Linked DNA regions of Macaca fascicularis. The protein of the gene in region 1 interacts with the protein of each later gene in a pairwise test. Links are inferred from orthologs where the notes say so. Each region holds a gene or a part of one and is shown in the gene's direction. Other genes may lie near its edges. The genes, in order: TFG, SPG21, CSTF2 and ANXA11.

Evidence for each region.
Region 2: the proteins of TFG (region 1) and SPG21 interact in binary tests that used the Homo sapiens proteins (3 or more experiments, as listed by UniProt). The two-hybrid records come from large-scale screens. The link is inferred for Macaca fascicularis from reciprocal best matches to the Homo sapiens genes TFG and SPG21.
Region 3: the proteins of TFG (region 1) and CSTF2 interact in binary tests that used the Homo sapiens proteins (3 or more experiments, as listed by UniProt). The two-hybrid records come from large-scale screens. The link is inferred for Macaca fascicularis from reciprocal best matches to the Homo sapiens genes TFG and CSTF2.
Region 4: the proteins of TFG (region 1) and ANXA11 interact in binary tests that used the Homo sapiens proteins (3 or more experiments, as listed by UniProt). The two-hybrid records come from large-scale screens. The link is inferred for Macaca fascicularis from reciprocal best matches to the Homo sapiens genes TFG and ANXA11.

What each region holds. Positions count from the first base shown.
Region 1 is NC_088376.1:182,316,327-182,323,821, reverse strand, and holds part of TFG (protein TFG), read left to right. Parts: intron 1-2,934; coding exon 2,935-3,081; intron 3,082-6,561; coding exon 6,562-6,726; intron 6,727-7,495. UniProt on the Homo sapiens protein: Plays a role in the normal dynamic function of the endoplasmic reticulum (ER) and its associated microtubules. Required for secretory cargo traffic from the endoplasmic reticulum to the Golgi apparatus.
Region 2 is NC_088381.1:41,550,918-41,557,331, reverse strand, and holds the end of SPG21 (maspardin), read left to right. Parts: intron 1-1,712; coding exon 1,713-1,853; intron 1,854-3,375; coding exon 3,376-3,492; 3' UTR 3,493-4,090; downstream 4,091-6,414. UniProt on the Homo sapiens protein: May play a role as a negative regulatory factor in CD4-dependent T-cell activation.
Region 3 is NC_088395.1:107,485,935-107,493,429, forward strand, and holds part of CSTF2 (cleavage stimulation factor subunit 2), read left to right. Parts: intron 1-35; coding exon 36-114; intron 115-757; coding exon 758-927; intron 928-1,126; exon of another isoform or gene 1,127-1,259; intron 1,260-1,803; coding exon 1,804-1,940; intron 1,941-2,397; coding exon 2,398-2,517; intron 2,518-2,631; coding exon 2,632-2,769; intron 2,770-5,164; coding exon 5,165-5,288; intron 5,289-6,563; coding exon 6,564-6,626; intron 6,627-7,495. UniProt on the Homo sapiens protein: One of the multiple factors required for polyadenylation and 3'-end cleavage of mammalian pre-mRNAs. This subunit is directly involved in the binding to pre-mRNAs.
Region 4 is NC_088383.1:66,604,335-66,612,294, forward strand, and holds the start of ANXA11 (annexin A11), read left to right. Parts: upstream 1-2,850; 5' UTR 2,851-2,989; exon of another isoform or gene 2,990-3,057; intron 3,058-3,113; exon of another isoform or gene 3,114-3,290; intron 3,291-6,924; 5' UTR 6,925-7,108; intron 7,109-7,960. UniProt on the Homo sapiens protein: Binds specifically to calcyclin in a calcium-dependent manner. Required for midbody formation and completion of the terminal phase of cytokinesis.

The sequences.
Region 1 (7,495 bases):
ACTATTCAAGAGCATAGGCAAAGAGGGAATATGCACTAATTCATTTTGTGGGATTAATATAACATTAACATGAAAACAAGCCAGGGAAAATGAAGACCAGTGTCACTTATGATCATAGATAGAAAATATTAAGTAATATTTACAAATCAAACTCATCAGTGAATATTAAAACACACCATTGTCAAAATTGCTCACCTAAGGAGTCTAAGATTGCTTTAAATTAGAAAATCACATACTACTTTCTATATAACAGATTAAAGGAGAAAAACTGAATCATCTCTAGATAAAGAAAAGCCATTTATATCTCAATCATGTTGAAAAGTCATAGCAAACTATGAATAAAAGGGAATTCTTTTTTTTGAGACAGAGCCTCTCACTGTCGCCCAGGCTGGAGTGCAGTGGCTCGATGCTCACTGCAAGCTCCGCCTCCCGAGTTCACGCCATTCTGCCTCAGCCTCCAGAGTCGCTGGGACTACAGGCGCCCGCCACCACGCCTGGCTAATTTTTTTTTTGTATTATTAGTAGAGACGGGGTTTCACCATGTTAGCCAGGATGGTCTTGATCTCCTCACCTCGTGATCCACCCACCTCGGCCTCCCAAAGTGCAGGAATTACAGTTGTGAGCCACCACGCCTGGTCAAAAGGGAATTATTTTACCTCATATGGGGGCATTTATTACATAGAACAACTGCTCTGTGCCTAATAAAAAAGGATTATAAATGTAACTAACATACCAATTATATACAACGAAACATAGTTGGAATAAACCTAACAGTCTAGATTGTTTTGGATGAAACATAAAATTATTTAAAATCGAGTAGGGGAATGGGTTTTAAGGAAAGGTACTCTGGGAGATTTAATTATGTCTATGCTGTTTCATTTCTTAGTGGTTAGGAGCAAAGATGAAAAAAATACTAAGGTTTGGCCAGGCGTGGTGTCTCACGCCTATAATCCCATCACTTTGGGAGGCCGGACCAGCCTGGCCAACATGGCGAAACACTGTCTCTACCAAAAAAAAAAAAAAAAAAAAAAAAATTAGCTGGGCGTAGTGGTGCACGCCTATAGTCCCAGCTACTTGGGAGGCTGAGGCAGAATTGCTGAACCCAGAAGGCAGAGGTTGCAGTGAGCTGGGATCAGGCCACTGCACTACAGCCTGGGTGACAGAGCAAGACTCTTTCTTGAAAAAAATATAAATATATATAAAGCTTTAACAAAGATGGGTGTTTAGTAAGTATTTTGTTGTGTGCTTGAAATGGTTCATTAAAGTCTTCCAATTATATTCACACTAATGAAGATACATTATTATGTGTACTAGGGTTCTCCAGAGGGATGGAACCAATAAGATACATGGGAGTTTTTTTAGGGAGAATTGCAAGGTGATTACAAGGTGAAGTCCCATGATAGGCCATCTGCAAGCTGGGGAAAGAGAGAAGCTGATGCTGATAGTGGCTCAGTGACTCAGTCCAAGTCCAAAAGCTTGAAAACCAGGGAAGCTGATAGTGCAGCCTTTGTCTGTTGCCAAAGGCCTGAGAGTCCCCTGAGAAGCTGCTAATACAAGCCCTAGAGTCCAGAGGCCAAAACTGGAGTCTCTTGTCCTGGAGTCTGATGTCCAAGGGCAGGAGGAGTGGAAGCAAGCATCTGGCATAGGAAGGAGAGCAAGCTAAAGACCCAACAAGCAAACTTCTTCTGCCTGTTTTGTCATAGCTGCGCTGGCAGCTGATCGGGTGGTGCCCACCAACACTAAAGATGGGTCTTCCTCTCCTGGTTCACTGATTCAAATGTCAATCTCCTCTGGTAACAAACACCCTCACAGACACACCTGGAAACAGTACTTTACCAATCATTTGGCGTTCCTCAATCCAATCAAGCTGACAACTAATATTAACTTAATTAATTTAAACTTAGTTAATTTAAACTTTTAATTGAATATAATTTGGAGCTTAGTGCTCTTAAACCCACTAAGTAGATAATAACAGATTATAGGCCATACTAGGCATGTAAGTGCAAGGTTCTTGAGACTAAAGCTGTAGTTGGTAAAGCAGTAGCAGTCACTCATATTAGCCAGGATAAAAGGTTGTTTGGTCATTTTTCTGGTGTGGTCAGCGTTCTTGTTTTTGTCTGAATTTTGACATGGTTATGGACTGTTGATCTATCACAGATGATAGTCTTCTGTGATGTTGGTGTTCTTTGAAATATTTATGTTCAACAGGAGAACACCACAGCCTACCTGTGAGTGCCAGGCCAGCCTCTAGCAACACTAAGGCCTATCTTACTATACCAGACCAGTTTCTGGCTGCTAGGAGCTATTTTTCTCCTCTAATATGGGAGAAAAAACAGTAATACCAAGTGAAAACCAATAATTAATTGATGTAGGTAGGAGATTGTATTGAACTTCATAGCTATGCAGGGAGTATGTGAATTACTGGTGAGTTTTTTTCTAAAAGCTTATAATTGGTGGTTTGATTTCGAAACATATTTAACAAAGAATTGCCCTGAACTTTTATTTTCACATAGATGGCCTTTTCTAATTAGGTGCTTCAGGAGTTTGTGTGTATGTATACTGGCAATGCATAAAGCATTTTAGTTTAATTTTCGAACTCCTGTCTTGGGGTTTGCAATCAGAGCCTTGTGTCACTTTTTTTTCTTTTCTTTTTAAAAATAACCTGAGTGTTGACAGTGTTTGTTGCTGAATGAAGGAATTCATTTTTTTCAGTCAACTGAAAATCATTTGGTCTGGCATCAAATCATTTGACTTTTTTCCCAAAATAAGTTATTAGCCATAGAGAATTCCTTTTTTTAAAAAAAGTTACTCCATGACATCAATATCTTGTTTTTGTTTTTTTAAAGGAATTGTATTTATTTTTCCTTGTTGCATATTATTAGTATACTTATTCATGAACTTCTAATTTTAAGCAAATAAATGTTTTTATTTCAGTTAATGGCCAGCCAAGACCCCTTGAATCAAGTCAGGTGAAATATCTCCGTCGAGAACTGATAGAACTTCGAAATAAAGTGAATCGTTTATTGGATAGCTTGGAACCACCTGGAGAACCTGGACCTTCCACCAATATTCCTGAAAATGGTAAACCCTGAATCCATTGTATTCTGATTTATTGTTCTTACGTCTTTTTGGAGGTTTGTAAAAACTCTTTTTAAGTAGGAGAAGGATGGCACCCCCAGTGTCACTCTTGTTCCTCTGCCTCTCTACTAGTATTTATGTCTGTGTTCCTAAACCTTGCTGTTCATCAAGATTACTAGGAGGTTTCATTATACCAATTCCTGGATCTCATCATAGACCTACTGGAGTTTAGGAACTGGAAATCCCATTTTTAAAGTGTTTTCTGGGTGATTCGTTCACAACTAGTCTTAGACTTTTGGATTTGTTACACAGGTCAGTTTTCAAATCCTCTTGACACATGACCCTTTTTAGTATAATAGGTAAGTAATGAACCTTGGGAATTGAAAATCATTTCATGAATATTACGTAGTGTTGGAAGTAGTTTCAACTAAAAATCACTTAGATTAGTAATATTCATTAAAAATGGTACATTGTAAAGTTGAAACACAATTTTTAATAATATTTAAAGAAAAACTTTTTTTCCCCCATTTTATAGATGACATGTACTATTTGTGTTAAGATAAAGCAAGAAGTATCGACATTTGGAACTGACATAATTTTGGGACCAAATGTATTTTAAAATGTGGACTGAAATTTAAGTATGTGTTATGACTTGAAAGTAGAGTTAAAAAACTGCTTTCTTCTTTTAAGATTCTTAGATGTTGCATTTAAAGAAAACTCATTATTTTTTACAACTTGTTTGCTTATAATTTTCATATGTTTAGAACTGTCCATATTGTGAAATTAATTAAAAAGAAGTCTGGTCTGGATGACTGCATGTAAAGGGCTTAACACAAGATAATTTTTGTGGATAAATGGCATGTATTCTGTTTTTGGCCATTAAATAATTTGGGAGTTTTTGTTTTCTGTGTTTATTTTAGTTACAGTTTAAATAAAGACGTATTTTCCATCATTACTCTCTTCCTGTCTTCTAATAATCATGTGGAATTATGTTAATGATAGATAGTTAATAAATATTTGGTGATTGATTGGTGATTTCTAGTTCCACTTCTATTTCAGAACATAATGGGACAATTTTTCTAGAAGAATTCATAGATGCTGACACAACATTTGCATATAATTTCAGGGGATTTAACCATCTGCAAAATATTAAGAAATGTAGATGAGAATTTAACCAGTATAGCCAGTACTGTTCAGAAATTAGCTACAGTGGCCCACATTCTACTCTCAGGAATGGATTTATGAATTTGTTGGTTTAGGTGAAACTTTTTCCTCACCTATTTCTAGCTACTGTTTATACTTCATTCTTTGTTTCTGTATTTTTATACATATTATTGTTAGCTTTTTACCTATGTTAACGTAAAAGATGTTAAAATTGGTTTCTTCTCTGCATCTTGGAAGTCATGCCATGTGTTGTTTTCTTGTATGGCCATCTTCTAGTTATTGTGTCCTGTCTGACGTATCTGATGATAAGATGATATAAGAATAATACAATCTGCATTTTATTTTTAGAGATAGTTCTAATTTTAAAAAACAAAAACAAAAAAAAGCGCCCTACATCAGAAACTGAAATCTAGTCCACAAAATGAAATTGCCAATCAGCTATCAGTGCTATTCAGAACCTGTGGATTACCCTCACCAAGAAACATGGCTGCCTGTGGTCTTCAGCTCTCTATTACAGTGGTTCTTGGATGCTTGTTTTCCTCCAAGAGGCAAATGGTGTGTAAACTACCTTAGATAGAAGATTGACCTGTTGGCAGTATCTCCAGCAGTTAATGGAGCAAGTAGTAGGACATATAGTGTGTTTCCTGATCGTTATAGTTTGTGATAAGTGAAAAGAGGCATAGGTAGTGAGATGTGAGGGGAAACAATTGGTAAGAGTGACGTGGTATGCTCTTGGGATTAGAGGAAGGAACTTGGTAGGGAAGGTAGATAACTGGTAGACGTGTTTTAAAGGAATAGTTCTAGGGGTTTTCCTTTTCCAAAAACTTAGAAAATATTAGGGTAGCCTGGAATGGTATGTTAGGAATGAATGAGCTGCCAGCCAGTGTGTGCTGTGGGTATTTATATTCCTTTAGCACTTAGTTTTTTTCAGAAGATACATTTTGTATTGATTACTGGGGTGATCTAAGAACAGATATTCATTTACTTACTTGGTAACAAAAGTGATAATCATTGTTCCTTAATTGAGTAAATGATTAACAACAGTCCTTTTGTTTACTTGTTCGTGTGTTTTGTTTGTTTTGATGTCTTTTGTATCTTGGACTTGGATTCCTATTTGTAAAATGTAGGTTATTCTTGAACTCTTTCTTTCGAAAGACAGTAGTATAAATGCCTGTGGAATATCTTAGTATCCTTAGAAGAAAAGCATGATTTTAAATTTAACCTGCTTATAATATTTAACATTTTGTTTTTTGTTGTTGTTGTTTTAAACATTTTATTATAGAAAAGTTTAAGTATATACGAAAGTAGACATTATAATGAATCCCATAAACCCACATACAATTTCAACAGTTACCAACTTATGGTATCATATAATTATGGTACACACACTTTCACCACTCCTGTTACCCAGACTGGAGTGCAGTGGTACGATCTCAGCTCACTACAAACTTCTCCTCCTGGGTTCAAGTGATTCTTGTGACTCAGCCTCCTGAGTAGCTGGGATTACAGGCATGCATCACTGTGCCTGGCTAATTTTTGTATTTTTGGTAGAGATGGGGTTTTGCTAGGCTGGTCTCGAGCTCCTGGCCTCAAGTGATCTACCCACCTTGGCCTCCCGCCGAGATTACAGACATGAGCTATCGCACCCGGCTCCCCTCCTGTATTATTTTGATGCAGATCCCATATACATCATTTTATCTGTAAGCATTTGAATAAGTATTTTAATAAGTAATACATATTAAAATAGAAGGTAGCAAATTCAAAAATGTTTTTAATGTGCTATTTATGGAAGATTATGAATTAATTATGGTTGGCTTGATTTCCATGTAATTTAGTAGTGGACCACTAGACAGTAAAAATGAAATGTTAAATTTGAGATTATAACTTTAGTTAAGTTTCTTTTTATAAAATAAAGCCTTAGTTCCTATAATTGTTATTTCCAGAGTGCCCAGTGGGTATCTGATACTAGGATATAGGTCATTGGGCTCCAAAAAAAAACCAAAACAGTAAAATGTTTCTCTTTATCCAGGAGCTTGTATTTTTTTCATCTAATATTTCTTATGAAAGGAGGTAAATAACTTTTTTGGAAAAGCTGTTGTTAATCTTCTGTTTCTTTTTGCCCTCTCCTCCCTGGTACTAGAAGTAAAAATACAAAAAAGTATAAAGAAAGTAAAATGATTTATAATCTTATATTCAGACATACTTAATATTCCAGACTATCGTTGTACACATACGTTATTTCCCTATCTTGTACGTTTAGGCCTTACCGAGTATAGATAAAAAGGAAACACGTTTTTGTTTATTCCTCTCTTCTTGCAGATACTGTGGATGGTAGGGAAGAAAAGCCTGCTTCTGATTCTTCTGGAAAACAGTCTACTCAGGTTATGGCAGCAAGTATGTCTGCTTTTGATCCTTTAAAAAACCAAGATGAAATCAATAAAAATGTTATGTCAGCGTTTGGCTTAACAGATGATCAGGTTTCAGGTAAGTTAGTTTCCAACTCCTTTATACCCTTCCTTTCCTTCATCTTTCCTTTCTTTCCTTTCGTTCTTTCTTTAATTGAAGAATAACTTGGATATGGTGAAGTGCACAAGTCTTAAGTGTTCTGTTTAACAAATTTTTACATATTTGTACACTTATGTAAAAGACTAACTAGATTAAGATGTAGATTATTTCCAATACTCAGAAAACTTTCTTATGTCCTCTCCCCAACAGTAGCACCCTCCCCCTTAAAGAATAACCACTGTTGGGTTCAAGTAAATTTTTGAAAGTAAAATTTAGAAAGTTTGCAAAAATCTGAACTATTTTATAATTTGATTAGTTGCAGTATTCGAATTATATTTGATTTGTCTTTTCTCTTAGAGAAATTGAAAATTATATGTAGATTTTCTGGTTAAATTGCTTGAGTATAGAGTGGATTTGTATATAAACAAATTTTTAACCTTAAAGCAGTACCTATATTGTTTTATTCTTTTTAACTTTTGGTTATAATTTCTTTATTATTTTTTCCCGCTTCTTTTTCTCTTTTCGGATTCTAATAACACATTAGAGAGCTTGATACTCTCTCATGGGTCGTTAAGGTTCATTTTTCTTCAGTCTTCTCTCTGTTCTTCAGGTTGGGTGATTTCTGTTGAACTCTTCAGGGTCACTGTGATTTCTAATATGCTGTTGAACCTTTCTAGTGAATTATTTAATTGTGCTTTCAGTTCTAGAATTTCCATTGAGTTTTTATAGTTTCTGTTTTTCTGTTGAG
Region 2 (6,414 bases), on another chromosome or scaffold:
CCGCCATACTGTCTTCCACAGTGGCTGTACCATTTAATGTTCCCACCAACAATGCACAAAGGTGCCAGTTTCTCTATATCCTGGACATTTATTTCTGGTTTTTTGGTTGGTACTCATCCTAATGGATGTGAATTGGTATCTCACTATGGTTTCAACTTACTGAAAAAAAAATATATGATTATTTTGCCTTATAAATGGATTTGTTCCTAAATTCAAATAATAATGGTTTTTGTTTTTTTGTTTTTGAGATGAAGTCTCGCTCAGTTGCCCAGGCTGGAGTGCAATGGCGCGATCTCAGCTCACTGCAAGCTCTGCCTCCCGGGTTCATGCCATTCTCCTGCTTCAGCCTCCCAAGTAGCTGGGACTACAGGCGCCCGCCACCACGTCCAGCTAATTTTTTGTATTTTTAGTAGAGACGGGGTTTCACCATGTTAGCCAGGATAGTCTCAATCTCCTGACCTCATGATCTGCCCACCTCAGCCTCCCAAAGTGCTGGGATTACAGGCATGAGCCACTGCACCCAGCCAAATATGGTATTTTTAATCATCGGTTTTTGTCAGGAAATTATCTCTTATTAGCGTGTAAACAACTTCTTATCCTCTGCCATAATCGCTGCATTCTAACATTTACCGTAACATAGAACAAGCTTTTCAATGGTCCTCACAGGACGTTTGCTCTGCTTGCTCTTCTTTCAAAGCTGTGCTCACCCCCTGGGTTCATGGTCACTGAAAACGGCCTATAAGTTTTAGTTGGAGATGCACTTAAACATACAGATTTAGTATGGTATATTTAGTGTACAATACTTTTTGCTTCTTTTACTTTTTGAAAAATTTTGTTGCATGTAAAAACATAAATGTATATGGGTATTGAAAAATGTCTAGAGTCATATGCTGCAAACTGGCTTCCCCAAGAAAGAGTAGCTTATACTCTTTACATTTTTTTGGAATTTTTTTCACTGAGCCTAAATGACTTAGGTTGTTGCTTTAAGTTAATAATAAAAGTAAAAAGTTCTTTGGGGGCCTCATGATCTTTTTGAAATTTATTGGCATTTGCAATGATTGTTCTCTATTATTCTGTTAATCTACTTAGCTATATTTGAGGAAAAAGGAAGTTCATGGTAGAATTTCCCCCCACCCCAGCCGAGCCCGGTGACTCACATTTGTAATCCCAGCATTTTGGGAGGCTGAGGTGGGCAGATCACCTGCGGTCAGGAGTTCAAGACCAGCCTGGACAACATGGTGAAACCCCGTCTCTACTAAAAATACAAAAATTAGCCAGGTATGGTGGCACATGCCTGTAATCCCAGCTACTCAGGAGGCTGAGGCAGGAAAATCGCTTGAACCCAGGAGGTGGAGGTTGCAGTGAGTCAAGATGGTACCACTGCACTCCAGCCTGGGCGACAGAGCAAGACTCCATCTCAAAAAAAAAAAAAAAAAAAGAACTTCCCCCCACCAAAAGAATGCAGGAGATGCTCTGCAGCGAAATCTGTAGCTATTGTCCTAGGTTGGACTTAGAAGTCACCAGGGATCAGCAGTGGAGGTAGTTCAGGCTGCTAGGGGTTCAGAATTGTCTCTTCATATGAAAGGAATACTTAGGGTAGCATTTCCATAGTGTGAAAAGAACATATTAAAACACCAATCGATTACAGCTTTGTGTATGTGTGTGTGTGTTTTACCTTTCCTATGGTGCTGAAGCTTTATGTTTTTTTAAAGGTGTTTGATCAGAGTGCACTTTCAACTGAAGCTAAAGAAGAAATGTACAAGCTGTATCCTAATGCCCGAAGAGCTCACCTGAAAACAGGAGGCAATTTCCCATACCTGTGCAGAAGTGCAGAGGTGAATCTTTATGTACAGGTAAGGCCTAGCTTGAAACCCAGAGCACTCTGAGCCCAACATACGTTTGCAACATAAAGCCTTTTTTTTTAATGGACTAGTAAGGGAATCAGGGAACTACAGAATTCCTTGTAGGAATGAGGCATTGACTTGATAAAAGTGGTTTACATTTATAATTTGTAGGATAATGTGAACAGGTGTATTAGAGATCCCTTTTCTAAGGACAGCAGGCCTGCATTCACACACCGAGGTTACCATTGGTATGATGTGACCTTGCCCTCTGGACATAGTGAATTCCGTCAGAGCAAGACATCCGACCTAAATGGGGTCAATCTGAGTCTTGTGAAGTGACTTCTTGATCTAATTTTAATGCACTAAAAGAAAACCCTGCCAAGCGCAGTGGCCCATGCCTGTAATCTCAGCACTTTGGGAGGCTGAGGTGGGCAGATCACAAGGTCAGGAGTTCAAGACCAGACTGGCTAATATAGTGAAACCCTGTCTCTACTAAAAATACAAAAAAATTAACTGGACATGGTAGCGTGCACCTGTAGTCCCAGCTACTCAGGAGGCTGAGGCAGAAGAATCTCTTGAACCCTGGAGGCAGAGGTTATAGTGAGCCGAGATGACACCATTGCATTCCAGCCCGGGCGACAGAGCAAGACTCCATCTCAAAAAAAAAAAAAAAGAAAGCACTAACAAACACCATCCCTTCATACTCTAACTAAATGGATAATAGAATAGCAGTGAAGGGTGAGTGCCCTGGCAATTTGGCAAGAAGAATCAAGAGCCTTAAAAAACCAGTCATATTCCTTGATCCTGTCATCCCCTTATAGAAGACAGGGTCCTAAAGACAGGATCCTAAACAGGAAAACTTGATGCCCGGAGATATTCATCATAGCAGCACTAGTCACAGTAGCAGAAGATTGGAAGGACCTAACTCAGCGGAAGGGAAGGGTAAACGTCTCATCAGCATGCACAGTCTAAGATGTCTCAGGAGACTCTGCAGGGACTCAGGGAGACTGCTCAGGGAGTGAGGAACAAAGATCCCAAATGTAGTTTCAAAAAATTCTTTGACTTTTCTCTATTTAGTATGTATTAGTCTGTAAATTTTAGAAGTATAAGACATTTGTCTACTATGGTGATGTTTTCCTACCAAACTTTTTATAGAGGGCAGTATACATTTTACTCTGTAATGCAGCTATTTAAAATAATGATTCTGGCAGGGTGCGGTGGCTCACACCTGTAATCCCATCTCTTTGGGAGGCCGAGACAGATGGATCAACTGAGGTCAGGAGTTTGAAACCAGCCTGGCCAACATGGTGAAACCCTGTCTCTACTAAAAATACAAAAATTAGCTGGGCGTGGTGGCAGGCACCTGTAATCCCAACTACTCAGGAGGCTGAGGCAGGAGAATTGGGTGAACCCGGGAGGCAGAGGTTGGAGTGAGCAAGATAGTACCACTGCACTCCAGCCTGGGCGACAAGAGTGACTCTCCAGCTCAAAAAATAAAATAAAATAAAATCATGATTCTGCATTTCAACAGATACATTTGCTACAATTCCATGGAACCAAATACGCAGCCATTGACCCATCAATGGTCAGTGCCGAGGAGCTTGAGGTACAGAAAGGCAGCCTTGGCATCAACCAGGAGGAGCAGTAGTGTGTGTCTCGCTGTCAATGATGAGTTGACCCGGTGTGTTCTCGTATAGTCAGTGGCATCAGCGCCCGCCAGTCGGCCTTTTCCTTCAGGTTCGTCAAGCTCACCGGTTCTCACTGTGTCTGGGAAGTAGGACTGATGGTCATCTTCGTGACAGGCAGCAGCTCCACTAAGCCTGAGCAAGTGTTCCCTCTTGGTTTTCTTAGCTTTTGAATTTGAAGAAGTACTTTCGAAGATTCCCATTTTAAGAACCATGCGAATTTTGCTACCAAAAGTCTTCACCACTGTGTTCTTAAATGAATGTTAACTTCTGAGGTTTGGAACTTTGTGGTGTTTTTTCCTTCTTTTCTTTTCCATTCTTCTTTCTTTCTTTTTATGTTGTTTGCTGTAAATGCTGCACATCCAGATTGCATATTGGGACATTGGTTATTTTATGCTTTCTTGGATATAACCATGATCAGAGTGCCATGGCCACTACCCCACTGTTTGCTCTCCTGCAAATCAACTGCTTTTAATTTACACTTAAGCAAATTGTTTTGAGTGTTAGCTACTGCCTTTCTAGCTATTACAGTCATTTGGAATAAAAATTCAGTTTCACTGAGTCGCTTTTGTGATTATTGTTGCTGCCCAACTGGGCTACACAGGCTTAGGACTTTCTGAGAAGTAGGTCATGGTTGTCAATTCTGTGTGACTTTGGGTAAGTTACTTAATCTCCCAGAAGTACAGTTTGCACATCATAAAATAACCCTAAGCTATCGTTTATTGATCTACTGTGTGCCAGGTACCTTTCTTATCTTCATTCTTTCCCCTGAGTGGAAATGTTTAAACCCACATAAAGTAGAGGAAATGGCATAATAAATGATGTCCCCATCACCCAGCTTCAAAAATTATCAACTCTCAGTCTTGCTTATGTCTTTTTTTTTTTTTTTTTGAGACGGAGTTTCGCTCTTGTTGCCTAGGCTGGAGTGCAATGGCGTGATCTCAACTCACCACAACCTCCACCTCCTGAGTTCAAGCGATTCTCCTGCCTCAGCCTCCCGAGTAGCTGGGATTACAGGCATGCACCACCACCCTGGCTAATTTTGTATTTTTAGTAGAGTCAGGGTTTCTCCATGTTGGTCAGGCTGGTCTCAAACTCCCGACCTCAGGTGATCCGCCCGCCTCAGCCTCCCAAAGTGCTGGAATTACAGGCGTGAACCGCCGTGCCCAGCCTTGTTCATCTTTTAACCTACCCGCATTTCTTCCACACATGCTGCTATCGCTAAATTATTTTAAAGCCATTTCTGGTGCTGTATCATTTCATCTGTAAGTATTTCTATGTGTACCTTTAAAATACAGCCTTAATACCATTATCACACTTAAAAATTTACCGATAATTCCTTCAATTATTTACCAATAATTCCTTCACTATATTGTCTAATAATCCAGTGAATGTTCTCACTCACAATTATTCCATAATTTTTTTTTTAGGTGACTTGTTCTAATCGGGTTTCATATATAGTCCACACTTTGTATTTGATTGAAGTGTCTCTTAGATTCCTTTTGAACTGGAAGCTCCTCCTCCCTCTATTTTTTTCTTGCCATATATTCAGTGAAGAAGCAGGTTCATTTGCCCTGTAGTTGCCCCACAGTCCAGATTTTCCAACTGCAGCCTCATGGTGTCCTTCCACTTGTTTCTCTGTCCCTGGTATTTCCTGTAAACTGGTAGTTACATCAAGAGGCTTGATCAGGTCAAGCTCGATCTTTTTGGCAAGAACACTGCATAGGTGGGGCTGTGTGTTTCTCTTGCCTCATCTCAAGAGGCACATCACATCTGGTTGTGTCTAAGTTGTTATGATTGCTGGGTGTGTTCCGGCATCATCAGCCTGATCCAGTCCTGAGAAAGTCTGCTGGCTTACCTGCCACTGCTGACCATTGCACAGATGCATCATTCCATTAGGGGTTGCAGAACAGTAATAATACTAATTTTTATCTTTCCTTCTGCATTTATTAACTGGAAATTACCAATTTAAAAAAACCAAAAACTTGCCCTCATCAACTGCTTGGTTTCGCTGAGGTACAATTTAGACAGAAAAATAAGCATCAGCGCTTCTTTCCCTTTATGTGCCAGGTTTCGGAATATTGGGTTGGCCATACCTTCTTAGACTTCATCCCCAGTACAGCCCTGATTATCCTGACTTTACAGGTGAGGACCTGGAGACTGGGAGAGGTCAAGAGACTTGCTCAGGGTCAAGCAGTAAGGGGTGGAGCTGGGATGCCAACTTGAGTCTGACCATCCCTAAAACCAGTGATCTTTCCACAAAGGGGCCACAGTGTCTTCTCTATCTGTGGCTTGACAACAGTCGTGAGTTATGGAAACACTTGGTAAACCATAAGGGCGAAGCTTGACATTTTAACTAGTAGCATCTGAGGCTACTAGAGCCGTCTGACAGCTTTAACTACTCCCCAGCTCTGCACCCTGATGACTGCAAGTTGTCATTGCCAGCCCTGATCAATTTTGAGTACTGGTCTTGAATGCGTACTCAGGCCTATCAGGCCAGCCTTTGACAGGCATCCCAGCCTTCGACAGACTACCAGGCTAAAGCTGGTAGTCTAGCCCTATTATCTTAGGTCCTGGCATCACTGTTCCTTGGAATCCCCAGTTAGGAACGCAGCCATCTTAGACCCTCCACCCCCACTCACTCCTCCACCCCTATGTCTCAGGCTGAAGTGGATGTGGAGATGAAATTTGGGGTGCAAGATGTTTATTAAGGATCAACATCTGTGGCCTGGTGTGGTGGCTCACACCTGTAATCCCAGCACTTTGGGAGACCAAGGAGGTTGGATCACCTGAGGTCGGGAGTTCAAGACCAGCCAGGCCAACATAGAAAAACCCAGTCTCTACTAAAAATACAAAAAAAATTGCCAGACCTAGCGGCATGTGCC
Region 3 (7,495 bases), on another chromosome or scaffold:
CTCGGAATTTTAATGTTACCTGTTTTCTTCCTTAGTGGGGAACATTCCTTATGAAGCTACTGAAGAACAGTTGAAGGACATCTTTTCTGAGGTTGGACCTGTTGTTAGTTTCAGGTGAGATCCCCTTTTACTTCATGGTGGGAGCTTCTTAAAAATTACCACAGATTTGGCTCTTAGTAATGGCAGGTTTTCTTTACTGGTGACTTTTCACATACACTTTATTCTTGTAACAGCTTTATTTAGATATAATTGATATACTATACAATTGACATTTATTCTTACCTAAAATATGTTTTTTTCATTAAAAATGTTTTTTAGGCAGGGCGTAGTGGCTCTTGCCTGTAATCCCAGCACTTTGGGAGGCCGAGGCAGGCGGATCACCTGGGGTCAGGAGTTCGAGACCAGCCTGACCAATATGGTGAAATCCCGTCTCTACTAAAAATACAAAAATTAGCTGCTGTGGTATCGCATGCCTGTGTCCTAGCTACTCAGGAGGCTGAGACAGGAGAATTGCTTCAACCCAAGAGGTGGAGACAGCAGTGAGCCAAGATCGTGCCACTGCACTCCAGCCTGGGCAACAGAGCGAGACTCTATCTCAGGGAAAAAAAAAAGAAAAAGTTTTAAAAAATATTTCTGTGAGGCTGTCAGAGCTGTAAAGTTATTTATGTTACAGTGGGCCCAATTAAAGCATGGCAATGTTAGCAGGAACCCTGTATGTGTGTAACATTTGTTCCTGACACTTGGTTCTGCTCTCCAGATTGGTATATGATAGAGAGACAGGAAAGCCAAAGGGTTATGGCTTCTGTGAATACCAAGACCAAGAGACAGCACTTAGTGCCATGCGGAACCTGAATGGGCGTGAATTCAGTGGGAGAGCACTTCGAGTGGACAATGCTGCCAGTGAAAAGAACAAAGAAGAGCTGAAGAGTGAGTACAAATCCAACTTGGATGCAGTGTGAGTTAGTAAAGATGTAACAATGAAGATTTTCCGTTTCTGCTATGTTTTAGAATATGCTGAAATGGTTAGCCACACAGCTTGTTTATTACTTGACTGATCTGATGTGCCTGAGTTAGGCAAGTATTATATATATCTTTTAAAAAATTTTTTATAAATTTTTTTTCAAGTAATTGTCTGAAATTTCTATACCCTTGCTCTGGATGGAGCAGGGCAAGGCCTCAAACCATTTCAAAACTGTTCTGGCAAGCACTGTAGGAATGCATAGGGTCACTGCAGACCTAAGCATGCTGGAGACTTGCTAGTAAGTGTATATCTTTAAGAAACTGTAAAGTTGACATTAGAAATGCTTCAGTTGCTCCAGCCTGGGCAACAGAGTGAGACTGTCTCCAAAAAAAAAAAAAAAAAAAAAAACGAAATTTTTCCATTGTTAAGGAGTTATTTCCAGTTAAAGATGAATTCAAATTCATCAAGCCATTAGTAGTACTAACTATGGCATTAGTCATTCCTGTCACTGTTTTCAGGAGTTTTTGAAATTAGCATGTTTTTCTCTTTTAACATTTTGTTTCTGAAATGACTTGTCAAAAGAAGTCAGTGTTCCCAGTTCTCTAACTTAGGTTAACATTGTCCTTCCATGTGATCATGATCCCCAGCTTTCCTCTGAGAACAGAAAATACACTCTCACTTTCCTCCACAGAAACAAGAGGCTTTCAAATCATTTATTTCTCAGCTCTGGAGAATCTAAAATTATCAGCTGGTTCTTACAGCAGCCCTGAAAAATAGATACTTGAAATGATTTAGCTTTTTGTTTTGCCTCCCTAACTTTCTTGTACTTTCTTCTTGATTAGGCCTTGGCACTGGTGCCCCTGTCATTGAGTCACCTTATGGAGAGACCATCAGTCCTGAGGATGCCCCTGAGTCCATTAGCAAAGCAGTTGCCAGCCTTCCACCAGAGCAGATGTTTGAGCTGATGAAACAAATGAAGGTGGGAGGAGGCATTAGGTTATGAATAAAGCAAACCACATCAGGTTTTCAAGGAGTTAATTGAATCAGTTCCCTGAGCTCAAATAGAAATTGTCTGTAGACCACCATTTCTTGCACCTTCAATATTCTGTATGTACACAGTATATTTTACATTTTGTACAAAGAGCTTTCTATTTTTGTACACAAACACAGCTATCCAAACAATCCAGCTGGATTTTTGTGGCCCATAGATGTCAGATGTAGATATTAAAATTTGGCTTTTTTCCTAAATGATAGTATCACAGTATTTGAAATGCCTCTTTCTTCTCTTGCCTGCCATGACCAAGGTTTTTTTGTGCCATGCAAAAACTAATGATAAAGAGCCTCTTGAATATTACATTTCTCAGAGGGGAATGACTCTAAATCACTATCAGTTTCTAAGTCATAAGTATTAAACCTGAATCTGCTTATCTTCTCAGCTCTGTGTCCAGAATAGTCCCCAGGAGGCACGGAACATGTTGCTTCAGAACCCTCAACTGGCTTATGCTTTGCTGCAAGCACAGGTAGTGATGAGAATTGTGGATCCGGAAATTGCCCTGGTGAGTGCTTCTGGTTCTTTTATGGAAATGGTCGGGTAAACCTTGAGTGGGATAGGAACTACCTGATTGCTTTGTTAAACAGACAGCTTATAGGTTTGTCTTTTCACTTTTTAGAAAATTCTGCATCGCCAGACAAATATCCCAACGCTGATTGCAGGCAACCCTCAGCCAGTCCATGGTGCTGGGCCTGGGTCAGGATCCAATGTGTCAATGAACCAGCAGAATCCTCAGGCCCCTCAGGCCCAGTCTTTGGTAGGGCTTTATCCCTTAACATTTTTTTTTTATCTGTCTTAGAATGTCATTTTCTTTTTAGGAGAATATATTGAAAGAAGAATGGTCAGGAACCAGAGATGATAATTTCAATTTCCAGGCATAAAAGCAATTTCCAGGTTGCAGAGCACATGACATCTGAATGAATATAGATTCGATTCCAAGTTTGTAAAACAAAGAGATCCTTCCTGTATGCCCTTTTCTTATAAGCTAACTTTGTGTGTATGTGCATGCCTGGCACTGTGGTTGGCACTTTGTTATTCCATATGCATTATCTCATTTAATCCTCAAAGCAATTGTATGAGGTTGGCACTCTTATTATCTCCATTCTTACCAATGAAAAAAGTAAAGCTTGCTTTCAAAGCATGACACAAAACCCTAAAGCCATAAAAAATTGATACATTTGAAAACTAAAAAATTTCTATATAAAGAAAAAAATAAGTATCAAAGACATGACAAATTGAGAAAAAGTATTTGCCACACATGTGATGGACAACAGACTAATAAAGAGCCCATAGTCATGCACAGAAATGTTTATTGCCTTAGAGTGAAAAATTGGAAATGTCCTAAATGTACATCAATGGAAGAATGGAGAAAATGTGTGGTACATTCATCCAGTGAAATACTGTACAACAGTTAAATGAACTACACGTATCAACATGAATGACTCTGAAAAACATAATTCCATACAGCAGTTAAGATGAACTAGGATACATAATATCAACACAAATAACTCCAAAACAATAACATACGGACATGAAACTAAGTGAATGTGGATGCATTCCCGAAATGTAGGATATATGTTTCTGCATAAATCCCCAAAATATGTGGAGTGAGTTTCAAAATAATATATTGAGTATGTAATGATTCCTATAAAATTTTAAAACATTAGGAAGATGTCTTAGCGGTCATCTAAGGAGAAGAGAGCACAGGATGCAATTGGGGAAGACCATACAGGCCATTGGTGTATTTTATTGTTTATTTCCCAAGCTGCGTGGCTATTTTATTTCCTATATGATTTGTATATCTGTAATTTTTCATAATACATTTTAAAAGGCCTCCTATAAATTAGTAAGAAAATTTCCAATAACCCAGTAGAAAAATGGGAAATGGACATAAATATTTCACAAAAGTAGAAATATAAAGTAAATATATAAAAATGTATTCAACCTCAAAATAAGATAATGTAATAAATTATTAATACATGTAACGTTAAAAGATAATGTAAATAGAAACTACAATAAGCTACCATTTTTCATCTCTCAGATTGGCAGAGGTATAGGGCAGGAGCCAGCAAACATTTTTCTGTAAATGATCAGATAGTAAATATTTTTGGCTTTGCAAGCCACAGGATCTGCCACAGCTACTCTGCCATGGTAGTATGAAATCAGCCATAGGCAATATGTGAACAAGTGTGTGTGGTTGTGTTCCAATAAAAGTTTGTTTACAAAACCAGGCAGTGAGCCCGATTTGACCCATGGGTCATCGTTTGCCAGCTCCTGCTCTAAATAAATAAATACGTTTTCAGAGATAGAAAAGAGAGGTTAGCTAGTCCAAAAATGGACACAATTGTAAGTGGCAGATATAGTTCTGAACCTGGTTTTATCTGACCTCATACCCAGTTTTCTCTTAACTACCTTCCTATACAGCTCTTCCTTTTCTGTTGTAGAGTTTTGTGTTCCTTAAACGTGTATGTAATTTTTTTTTATATAACTTGGCTTTTATTCTTTATTTATTGAGCTGTTTCTTTTTCAAGGGACTACGCAGTTTTTTGGGGAATGCACAGATGAAAAGTTGACATTCTCTTTTTCTCAAAGAGTTTTAATGTAGCATTAAAAAAAAAAAATTCACATTCCCCCAGAACCAGAATTATGTCTAAGGACAGGAGTGAGAAAAGATTGGTTAAATTTAAATTTAAAAAAAAAAAAGAAGAAGAACATTTAATTTTAAAAATGTGGACTACTAGCAGTTGTTGTGTTTTTTTAAAAAGAGGCCCAGTCTCCTTTTTTCTTTCTTGGGTTTAGGGCTTTTTTTTTTTTTTTTTAAACTCTTATTGCCAGGCCCCAGTCATGAAGTTAACAATAGGTGCTATGTGCTGCCTTGCCACACAGATAAGACTTGTCAATCTCTACATTGAGAATATGTTCCATCTTAACCGTGTTCCATATAACCAGGCTCATGATGTGTATTGCAACTTGCTTCTGTGGAGTTTAAAGTGTGTGACAAATCTAATGCTGCATAAGACATGCCATACAAAAAGGATGTTTGGTAGTATATTTGGGGCTGTTCATTTGAAGAGGACTTTTAAGGTCATAGACTTAGTATTGAGTCTCCACCGAGGCATGTACATACTCTGTTTTTTTTTTTTCTTGGTCAGGGTGGAATGCATGTCAATGGCGCACCTCCTCTGATGCAAGCTTCTATGCAGGGTGGAGTTCCAGCACCAGGGCAAATACCAACCGCTGTCACAGGACCTGGCCCTGGTTCCTTAGCTCCTGGAGGTAAGTTTCATTTAGTCTTCGCCATTTCAGTACTCGCTAAAGTTTTGTCATAGGCACTGCTGCAGTGCAGCCAAATATGATAATGGGATCCTTAGGTAAAATTAATCCACAGCTAGAAAGTATATAACTTAGGTGGAGGAAATAGTAGATTTCTTATGTTAAATCCTACATGTCTAATTATAAGAACATGGAAAGGGACAGTAAAGTGAAAGAGCATAGTAAAACTTCCAAGTTAATGAGGGGGAAAATGGAATGAGTGAAAACGAAATCAAGCCAGCAAAAATAGAGAAAAGAAAAAAAGGAAGAGGCAGTGTAAAATAAGTAGTAGTAAATGTAGAGTAAGATGGAAGGAATAAAAACTAATGTAGTTGTTACTGTGCTAAATATGAATGAACTATTGGGTTCAAAAGCTCATGAAGAAAACAGACAAAAAAACACAAGGTCACATTTGTTATATCATATTAAACTGACGTAAAATTGTATTTTAACAAACATAATCAGACCAAACAACAAAAGGGAAAAAGAGAAACTTAAAAGTTATATACATTTATTGAAAGTGTATAGATAGGCAATTAATAATAGTATTGCTCATATACTTGTAACTGTTCCTTGTTCAACAATTGTAACTAAGAAGATTGAGTGAAATAATGATTCCCCGTATGAAACATCTGTATGAACACATGATGTATTACCAATATTTGAAGTTTTTTTATGTAACAAACTTGCTTCTTGTTAATTTATCTAATCTAGGGTACGTTGAGTACAACACTAGTCATGGAGAATGATTTAATTCTAAATTGTCCTGTTCTGTAGAGAATCCAGTCTGCAGAGCTAAGTTGATGAGGAATGGAAGAAGAGATTTTTTAAAGAAATTTCTGCAAACTCAGCAATTTTTTGTATCTACTTCAGGATTGTTATGTATCTGCTTTATCCTAATAGAGTTATACTTATATTTAGATTATCTTTCATGAGAGGAGATCCATGAGTAAGTGATACTGTTTTCCTGTATTATAGAAGAGCTTCCTGCTAAGAGTTTGGTAACCAATGAGATGAATTTTTCTTATTGAACTCACTATTCTGTCACTGAAACAAAGTACAAATTGTAAATATACTAACAAACCGCATCTTCTATCTCATTGCATTGTTGAATATCTTCCTTTGTAGGTTTCTGCTTGTGGAGCAGAATGAGGAAATTTGTAAACTCAGCCCCTGTTCTAAGTTTTCTTTTCTGCTGTTCTAATTGGTGTTTTTTCTTGTCTGCCCTTTGTCTTCTAGGAGGAATGCAGGCTCAGGTTGGAATGCCAGGAAGTGGACCAGTGTCCATGGAACGGGGACAAGGTAAATAAATGTTTATGTCTAACTAATGTGAATTGGTCTTGGAAGTGTTCCACATCCACAGTATCTAATATGGCAGCCACTAACCACCCATGGCTATTTCAATATTAAGTTAATTAAAATTAAGTAAAATTTAAAACTCAGTTCCTTAGTCACAATAGCCACATTCCAAGTGCTCAGTGACCCTAGGTAACTAGTGGATACCACACAGGACATTGCAGATATAGACCATTTCTGTCATCGTAAAAAGATTTATTGGACAGTGCTGGTCTAGACTTTCCACCTGGTGATTCAGAGCCCAGCTCTACAAGAATTGATAATGAAGCAAGTGGATCCTTTGTTTCCTGATTCCTAGTCTAATAATTCCACTGACATGTTCTCTCTCCCTGTATGGGTATCTGTTGACTGATTAAGGAATTTTAATAATGAGCATGTAAATATGTGGCTGGGTATGTAGAAGACTAGATTTAAACCCCAGAGAAAACTGGAAGGGGATCATAGGTCTGTAAAGCCTACTTAATGAACATCTGTTGTGCCGTGGCTGTACTGCTGTATACAACAGTAGCTGCCGTTCCAAAATCTCCACATTATGTCTTCATGTTACTGGAGTTTGAAGGACAAGAAAGTGCAGTGGTTCAGTTGGAAACAATGTTAGGAGGAGAGATGGTAAGAAAAGAAAAGGAACTGAGTGCATACTATATGCCAGGTACTTTAATTTTCATAAATAATCTTGTGAGTTAGGTGGCAGCACCTCAGTTTTACAGGCAAAGAGTTGGAAGCTCAGAATAAGTTACTTACTCAAGGGGACAAGGTAAGTAAATATTAATGTATGAGTAATCTGGACTGGATTTGGTGCTCTTATTCTCTTTTCC
Region 4 (7,960 bases), on another chromosome or scaffold:
ATAGGTCACGTTGAAGATTTTATAGGTGAGAAAGCCGAGGCTCGGAGGATGCACGACTTGCAAGTGTCAGAATCAGAACTAGAATAGATCCCACACATTTGAACACCGAGTTTGGTGTCTTTTCCTTCACACCGCGTTCTCTGGGGGTGCCTGGGCAGTGACCCCTGACATTGGCCTTGAGGATTAGGACCTCAGCTCGGGTCCTCTGCAGAGGCTCCTCAGTCCCTAGTAGCTTGCTGGCACCTAGCTGGGGCTAAACGCAGGTTTGTTGAAAATTATAAAAGGGTAAGCCCAGGGGTAGCTAATTCACCATTCTAGGTTCGAAGAGCTCTGACGCAGAAAGGTGTATACATCCAGCAGGAATTCCACCCTACGTGATTTATTATCAACTTGGTATTCTAGGTATTCGCTCAGCCACGGAGAAAAATGGGCCATTCAAAGACGCTGGCCTTCGCGGTCGCTGTGGGGCTGCAGAGCTGGCGCAGGCGTCCATGCAGGGGGGCTGGGTCGGCGCCAGGAGTCCTTCCCGGACCAATCCCCGGGCCCAGAGAGAGCGCCTGGAGACATTACCACTCCAGGAACTTCACCCAGTTTCTTGGAGGCTTCACACCCGCGCCCTCAGTCCTGCCATCTCCTACGCCGCAGCGGGCGCCGCCACCGGGGTAGTAACCCACTCTGAGAGTCTTTCTGGTGGTGCCTCTGACCCTCTGCTCTTCAGTTCCAGGCGACGTTTTCTCCGAGCCGCTCTGGAGACTTTGGCCTGAATTTCACCCTCACTCGCGGACTCATGTCCAAAAAATGTGGTCCAGCCCGGAAAGAGAGCCGCGCCTGTTGGTGGGGGTCGGGGGTGTTGGAGCGGCCACGGAATATGACTGAGCGCTCAGGGCCGGTTGTGAGGCCGGGGCCAGGATGCCCCAAGGCAAGGCGCTGTTCCTGCCCGGCACCAGCACAGCTGCCCAGACAGGGAGAAGGTCAGAGCCTCCCCTCCAGCCCTTCCCGCTTTTATTGTTCGGAGCGACTTTAAAACGCAAATCGGGCCGGACGCAGTGGCTCACGCCTGTAATCCCAGCACTTTGGGAGGCCGAGGCGGGCGGATCATTTGAGCCCAGGAGTTCGAGATCCGTGTGGCCAACATAGTGAAACCCCGTCTCTACTAAAAATATGAAAATTAGCCGGGCGTGGTGGTGAGCATCTGTAGACCCAGCAACTCGGGAGGCCGAGGAAGGAGAATTGCTTGAATCAGGGAGGCGGAAGTTGCAGTGAGCCGAGATCGTACCACTGCACTCCAACCTGGGCGACAGAGGGAGGCTCCATCTCAAAAAAAAAAAAAAAAAGGAAAATCGCACCAGCAGCTTGTTTGTAACAGTCAAACATAGGCAACAACCTAAATGTCCTTCAGTAAGGAGCTAGGTAGTGAAGAATGGTGAAGTGCACGATGGCGCGCAGTGTGCAGCGGATGGGAAGAACTAGGTCTGTTCGGGAGCGCTTCTATGGAAAGACCCTCCAAGATATAGTGAGTAAAAAAACATGTTGCAGAAAAGTACTGCAATATTGTTTTGTAAACAATACGTTTATGTAAACACACACACACACACACACACAGTATTGAAGAGAGATATTTTGGAAGGACACGCCTAAGAGTGGGCTGGGGGAGTGGAGAGAAGAGTGAATCTCAATTTTTATTCATTTTTTGAATTTTTTATTTTCAGTTTTTTAGAGACCGGGTCTCACTATGTTGCCCAGGCTAGTCTGGAAGCCCTGTCTTCAAGCCATCCTGCTGTCTTGGCCTTCCAAAGTGCTGTGAGATTACAGGTGTCAGCCACCACACATTAAAAAAAAAAAAATTGCATACCTACCATATATGCATATATTACCTGTGTGACCTTTTAAAAATAAGCTTTTTTTTTTTTTTTAGAACGTCTTTAGATTTACAGAAAAAGTGTGAATACAGGGAGTTCTCATAAACCCGAGTTTTTCCTATTACTAACATCTTATATTGGTGTGGCGCTTTTGCCACAATGAATAAACCAAAACTGACGCACTAAAGTCCATATTTTATTCAGTTGTCCTTAGTTTCTACCTACTATCTGTCCAGGATCCCGTTCAGGATACCACTTTACATGTCATTTTTATATCTCCGTGGGTTCCTCTTGGCTGTGACAGTGTCTTACACTTTCCTTGTTTTTGATGACCTTGCTAGTTTTCAGGAGTACTGGTCATGTATATGGCAAGGGCCTCAATTGATTTGTGATGTTTTTCTCATGATTACAGTGGGATTAGGTGTTCTTGGGAGGAAGACCACAAGCGGTGCATGCAATCAGTATGATTTACCGCTGTCGAGGTCACCTTGACGGCTGGGTGGTTGGTCAGGTTTCTCCATGATAGTTACTGACCGCTCCCTTCCTCACATACTGTGCGTGACCTTCCCCCCTCCACCACCACTGAGTGTTGATATGAAAGAAATGTGTTTGACCTTTTCAGTGTAAAAAGTTTTCTTTACCTTAAAGAGAGTCACTAACGACGCACACGGGGCTGGAGAGGATTTAGGAAATGCCCACCCCTGCAGGAGGGCGAATGCGGCTCTGCGCTGCACCGGGCGCTGCAGGGGGTTAGGGGCGACAGAGGGACCTCCAGAGCCGGAGACGTCCTGGAGCAGCTGCGCAGCCGGAAGGGCGCTGCTGCTCGCGGGCCCGCCCTGCCCAAGCCTCATCTCGGGGCGGGGCCGCGCTCAGGCCTCGCCCCTTCCCTGCCCTTCCCCCGGCGCCTGGGGCAACCGCGCCCGCGGAGTTTTCCGCCCGGCAGGCTCCTCCTCCCGCCCCGCCCTGAAGGCTGCGGCGCCCGCGACTCCCCAGTGCCCCGAGTGCCCCGCGAGCGGGAGTGGGACACAGCGCCAGGCAGAACCCAGGCACCGCGTCCGGGACGCCCGCGGAGAGAGCCACTCCCGCCCAAGTCCCATTTCGCCCCTCGCGTCCCGAGTCCCCGTGGCCAGGTGAGTGAGGGTCCCGGGCCGGCCGGGGGCCTGGGACCAGGCGGCGGCAGTGCACCGCGGCACCGCAGGTGAGGCCCGGGGCTGCCCCGCGCCCAGCCCAGCGCGGCCCTGCTGCTTCCTGGTTGCATTACAGGCGTGGGGGTGGGGGACAGAGGAGGCGTCGGCGGGTCCCGGGCTGGCCGTGTCGGCTTGGCAGCCCCCTCAATAAGCTTCGGCGTCGGGGGCTGCCCCCTCCTGTGCGGTCGGGGTGCACTCGCCGGCCCCCCCGGGCTCAGGGGTCAGCGTCTCAGTCTGGGCTTGGGTAAGGCCGGGGGCCGTGACCCTGGGCGGAGGAGGCAACGGGTGGCTGGAGGGATGCCGGAGGCCGAGCCCCGCAGCCCCGCGGGGCCCTCCGGGGTGCGCGCGCTCTTTCAGGCAAGGCTGGGGGAGAGCAAGCAGAAAAGGCTATCTTCAGGAACTTTCCTCCGTAACTGGGAGCACGCACATTCATGGGAGCTGCTACCATTGCAGTTTATTTGTAAGGAACTCTCCCCAATGTTTGAGAGAATGCGGGAGCCATCCCCGATGTTGTGCCTCCCTTCGCCCCTTCCCCAACTTTGATCCCCAGTTTCAGGAAGGGATTCCTGGACTTGTATCTCCCCATGGGTGCAGGCCAGGCCCTTAAGACTTAGAAAGGTAAAACGGTCTGTTGGTTTAAAGGAGACACGCGAAATTTGTCACCTAGAGACTTTGGAGGGGAAAAGTTAAGCCAGCCAGTGCTAGCCCAAGCTGGAAACAGTCGGCCCGGGGCATTTCTGTCTCTGCCCTCCAATCAGTGACCTCTCTGTAGAGATTGGGCGTTTGTGGTGGTTCTCCCATCTGTTCTCTGCCTTAGGCATGGAGTGGAGCTGTGAGGCCGAGCCCCTGCCCTGCCCACGCAACAGGGACTAAAGGTTTGCAGGGCATGCTCACCCTTCACTGGCTCTCTCATTGCTTTCCTCATTCCTTTTATGCGGCAGTCAACTGTTGGGGATTCCAGGAGGATTAACAGGCCCCCTTTCCTAAACGCATTCTTTGTGCTGCAAGGTGTTCCCTGACAAGGGAGGCCAGGTGAGGTGCCAGGGCAGTTTGTTGCCCTGGCATTGGGTGCCCACTACTTCAGGCTCCTGCATACCTTGCTATCTTGTCTCTGACTATTGTCTGTGCTTTGGTTTCCTCATCTGTAAAATGGGGATAATACTAATCCCTGCCTCACAGGTTTGTTGTGAGATTCAGTGCATTCATTCATTTAATAACCATACAGCGCTCAGGTACGGACCAGTCAGAACAGGTGGTGACTGCTGTACCACACTTGTGTGTCCCAGATGGGTGTCACCCAGATTAGCCATAAAGTGTGTGAGGCAGGCCTGGGTCATAAATAATCAGGTATAAGGGTCAGTAAATAGTAGCAGTGGAAGGTTCAGCTAAAGTTGAAATGCGCTTCTCCTGAACCGTCTTTCTGGCTTAGCTCATGCTAAGCTCATGCTGTCTGTCTTCCTGGAATGCCCTCCCTCCCCGTCTGGCCCAGGATTCTCCACCCTCCTGGGAGCCATCCTGGTGCCTGCTGCCCAGCAGGAGGGATGGGATATGCTCTGAGCTCACTCAGCCCCTCCAGCACTGACTCAGTTCTCATCTCTCACCTTGTGCGTAGTGTTTGTGTGGCCATGTGGCTTATCTCTGCCCTGTCTTCTGACTCTGGAGGGTGGAGGCTGTTTCTGACTTACCTCTTGGTGGTAGCACTCAGGATGGGCCTTGCCTAATGTAGGTGCTCAGAAAATTAGTTGTCGTTAGTTGAACAACAGAGGCAGCACAGGGAAGTAGTTTCCCTGTGGTTAAAGTATAGGACCTTGAAGGCTGGATTTGGATAGGCAGAGAAATGTGGGGAGGGTGAGATGGAGATGAATTGGGACTAAGAGGTGGGAGTGGAAGCCCCATCTGATGCCTTTATGCATGATATTATAGAAAGGGCTCACCCTGGGTGGACGTATCTAGAAGGCCAGGATCGATTAGTGATGCCTAGTTCACATGATTGGGGAGGTGATGTGTGACTTGGGATGACAGGAGTGGGAGTTGAGACAGAATAGGTTAGTGTGGGTTCTTCTTGGGAACTGTAGAATAGAGAAAAGAAACTGGTGTGGGCAGGAGGTGAATGTGGAACCAAAATGCATGCTGAATGCTGGAACATCAGAGGTTCCAGGACCTTTCTGGTGCACCCCCTCCTTCCTCCTGGATTCACTCCTCTTCTCCCTCTTTTTTTAATTTTTATTTTTTGTTGAGACAGATCTCATTCTGTCGCCCAGGCTGGAGTGCAGTGGTACAGTCTTGGCTCACTGCAACCTCTGCTCCCTGGGTTTAAATGATTCTCCTCCCTTGGCCTCCTGAGTAGCTGGGATTACAGGCATGCGCCACCATGCCCGGCTAATTTTTGTATTTTTAGTAGAGACGGGGCTTCACCATGTTGGCCAGGCTGGTCTTGAACTCCTGACCTCAGATGATCTGCCCGCCTTAGCCTTCCAAAGTGCTGGGATTACAGGAGTGAGTCACCGTGCCCGGCCTCCTCTCTCTTCTTCGCCACCGTCTTCCCCCATAAGCCTGAAGCAGTTCCTGGCACTTGGTCCCGTGGGGAAGCGTGTGTGCAAGGGTGTGCTTCACCAGCACTGCCAAGGAAACAGACTTTTCACTTTCTGTGGATTTTTCTCTGCAGCACTCTCTGATCCCATGACCCCCAGAATAGTGGGAATTCTGAGTGATACCTAGATAGGAAAGCTGTTAGGATGAATGAAGAAACTGAGGTTTTCTTGGTGGGCATTTGTGCTTTTAAAGGGAATTGTTGCAGTTCAGTGGAACTCTCTGATAACCGCTGAAACTGTTACACATTAGGCCTACTGATCCTGTCTCCTATAACCCATGAAATAAAGACCTGATAGTCACATAGTTGTTTGTTATTTGGGAGGATCCTAAAAGTACAGCCTGAACAGTGACCCAGACCACAGTTGGCCTTGCCCATGCTGAAGTGAGGAAGGAATGGGTGGGGGCAACCAAGAAATTGGGGGACAGAGTTCTCTGTGCTGGGTATCCTGGGACAAGCCACCCAGCTACACTGAGCCCCCCACACACAGAACAGTTCTGGATAATAAAATGCCTGCCTGGAATGGAGAATCAGATGAGAAGATGTTTGCAAAGGGGTTTGAGATCAGTTGGGGGTAGTGATGACAATGTTGATATGGTGGGTGTGTGACTGCCAGGAGTTGTGAAGCAGCGGGTGGAGCATGCCGTGGTCAAAGCCTGGTTCTGAGATCTCTAGTTTTCCAGGGGCTTAGGCTCCGCCTTAGCAGAAAAGAAGGAAAGGAAATTGAGAGGGAAGTCAGATGTCCCCTGCCCCTCACACCTGGGGGTGGCTGACTTGGAGGACTTGAGATGGGGGGAAATCTGAGTGAGGGCAGAGAGGAGAAATGTGGAGGCTACCCACGGGGAGGCTGGAGAGCATATGGCACATCCAGCCTGGGGAGTGGCACCGCTGGGGGAAAGGGTGCATGTGTCAGTGGGGAAGGAGTGGTGATAGCAGATGTGAGCTTGCTGTGTCCACTAAAAAGGTCACGGCTATTTTTAGGAAGTAGGTGACAAGGCATGTTCCGGTAGAACGGCTCATTACTGAGAACCCACTGTTGGCCTCACCCTGCGTGCTGTGCTTAAAAGAAGAGACCGCCCCCACTCACCCTAGAGTCATCCCCCTGGTGTCCCTGAGACATGGGACACTGGATGAGGACCAGGTTTGGAGGATGAAGAAGATCATGTATTTGGTTTTGGACATACTATGTTTGAGGTATCTTTGAGATACCAAATAAGCTGGTGGGTCTGGGGCTCAGGAGGAGTCTTGGCTAGACAGACATTTGTCTAGGTTGTGTTTGTGTTTGAAGTCATGGGCACAGCGAGATGGAAGAACTCACCTTGAACAGCTGAGTAAAGGAAGATGAGCCTATAAAGGACCCAGAAAAAGAGCTGCCTGAGAGGGGCCCAGAAAGCCAGCACAGAGTTGTATCCCAGGAGCCAGGGTGAGTCTGCTTCGTGGGATGGAGTAGTCAGCTTGGCATCGCGGCTGTGGTGAGTGACATGGAGAAGATGCAGCTGCCTTCACTGCTTTGGTGGGATGATGGGAGCAGAAGCGAGGTTGGAATGAATGGGTGAGGAGTAGCAGGACATGAGGATCTGATGATAGTAAGTTTAGACAGGCTCTGAAATGGTGGCTTTGAAGGCGAGGAGGACGTGTTTGACCCTGTTGCCTCGATTTACCCTCCTGCTCCCTTTCCAATCCCAGAAGGGAACATGTGGATGGCCTGCCACCGACATCCCTCCCCATGGCGCTCCATGCTCAGGCAGACCTAGGTGCCTGCAAGGGTTTGCTCCTTTCACAAAATGGATTCATTTTCATGAATGAGTGAATGAGTGAATGAAGCATGTTGCCCAGGCGGGTCTCAAAGCCCTGGCCTCAAGCAGTCCCCCCACCCCGCCTCAGCCTCCCAAAGTGCTGGGATTACAGGAGCCACTGCACCTGGCTGGTATTAAATTTTCTTTGTGGCCAACTGCATGATAAATATTAACATGTTTCATGGGCGTGAAAAGAGAAAATAGGTACTCTGCGGGACACTGACTTTAGATAGATCTCTTAACTTCAGTTGCCCTTATATCCCTGCTTGCCTGGCTGTCAGATTCTGAGAGGTATAACAAAAACTCTCACTGTAGTTTTTTAAAGTCCAGCTCTATTTATATTTGTGGGAGTTCTAGCCTTTGAATTTGGCTTTCATGTTTCGTGTATACAGGCTTATCAAGCTGATCTTCCTACCTTGTGTCATTTGCTGGTTATTTAATGCCTTTGGTCTTTGGCCTTAAATTCCATATTGTCTGTGTTTTAGGAGAATACGTGGCCAAGGATCTGGAAGAATCTCTTTTCTTTAT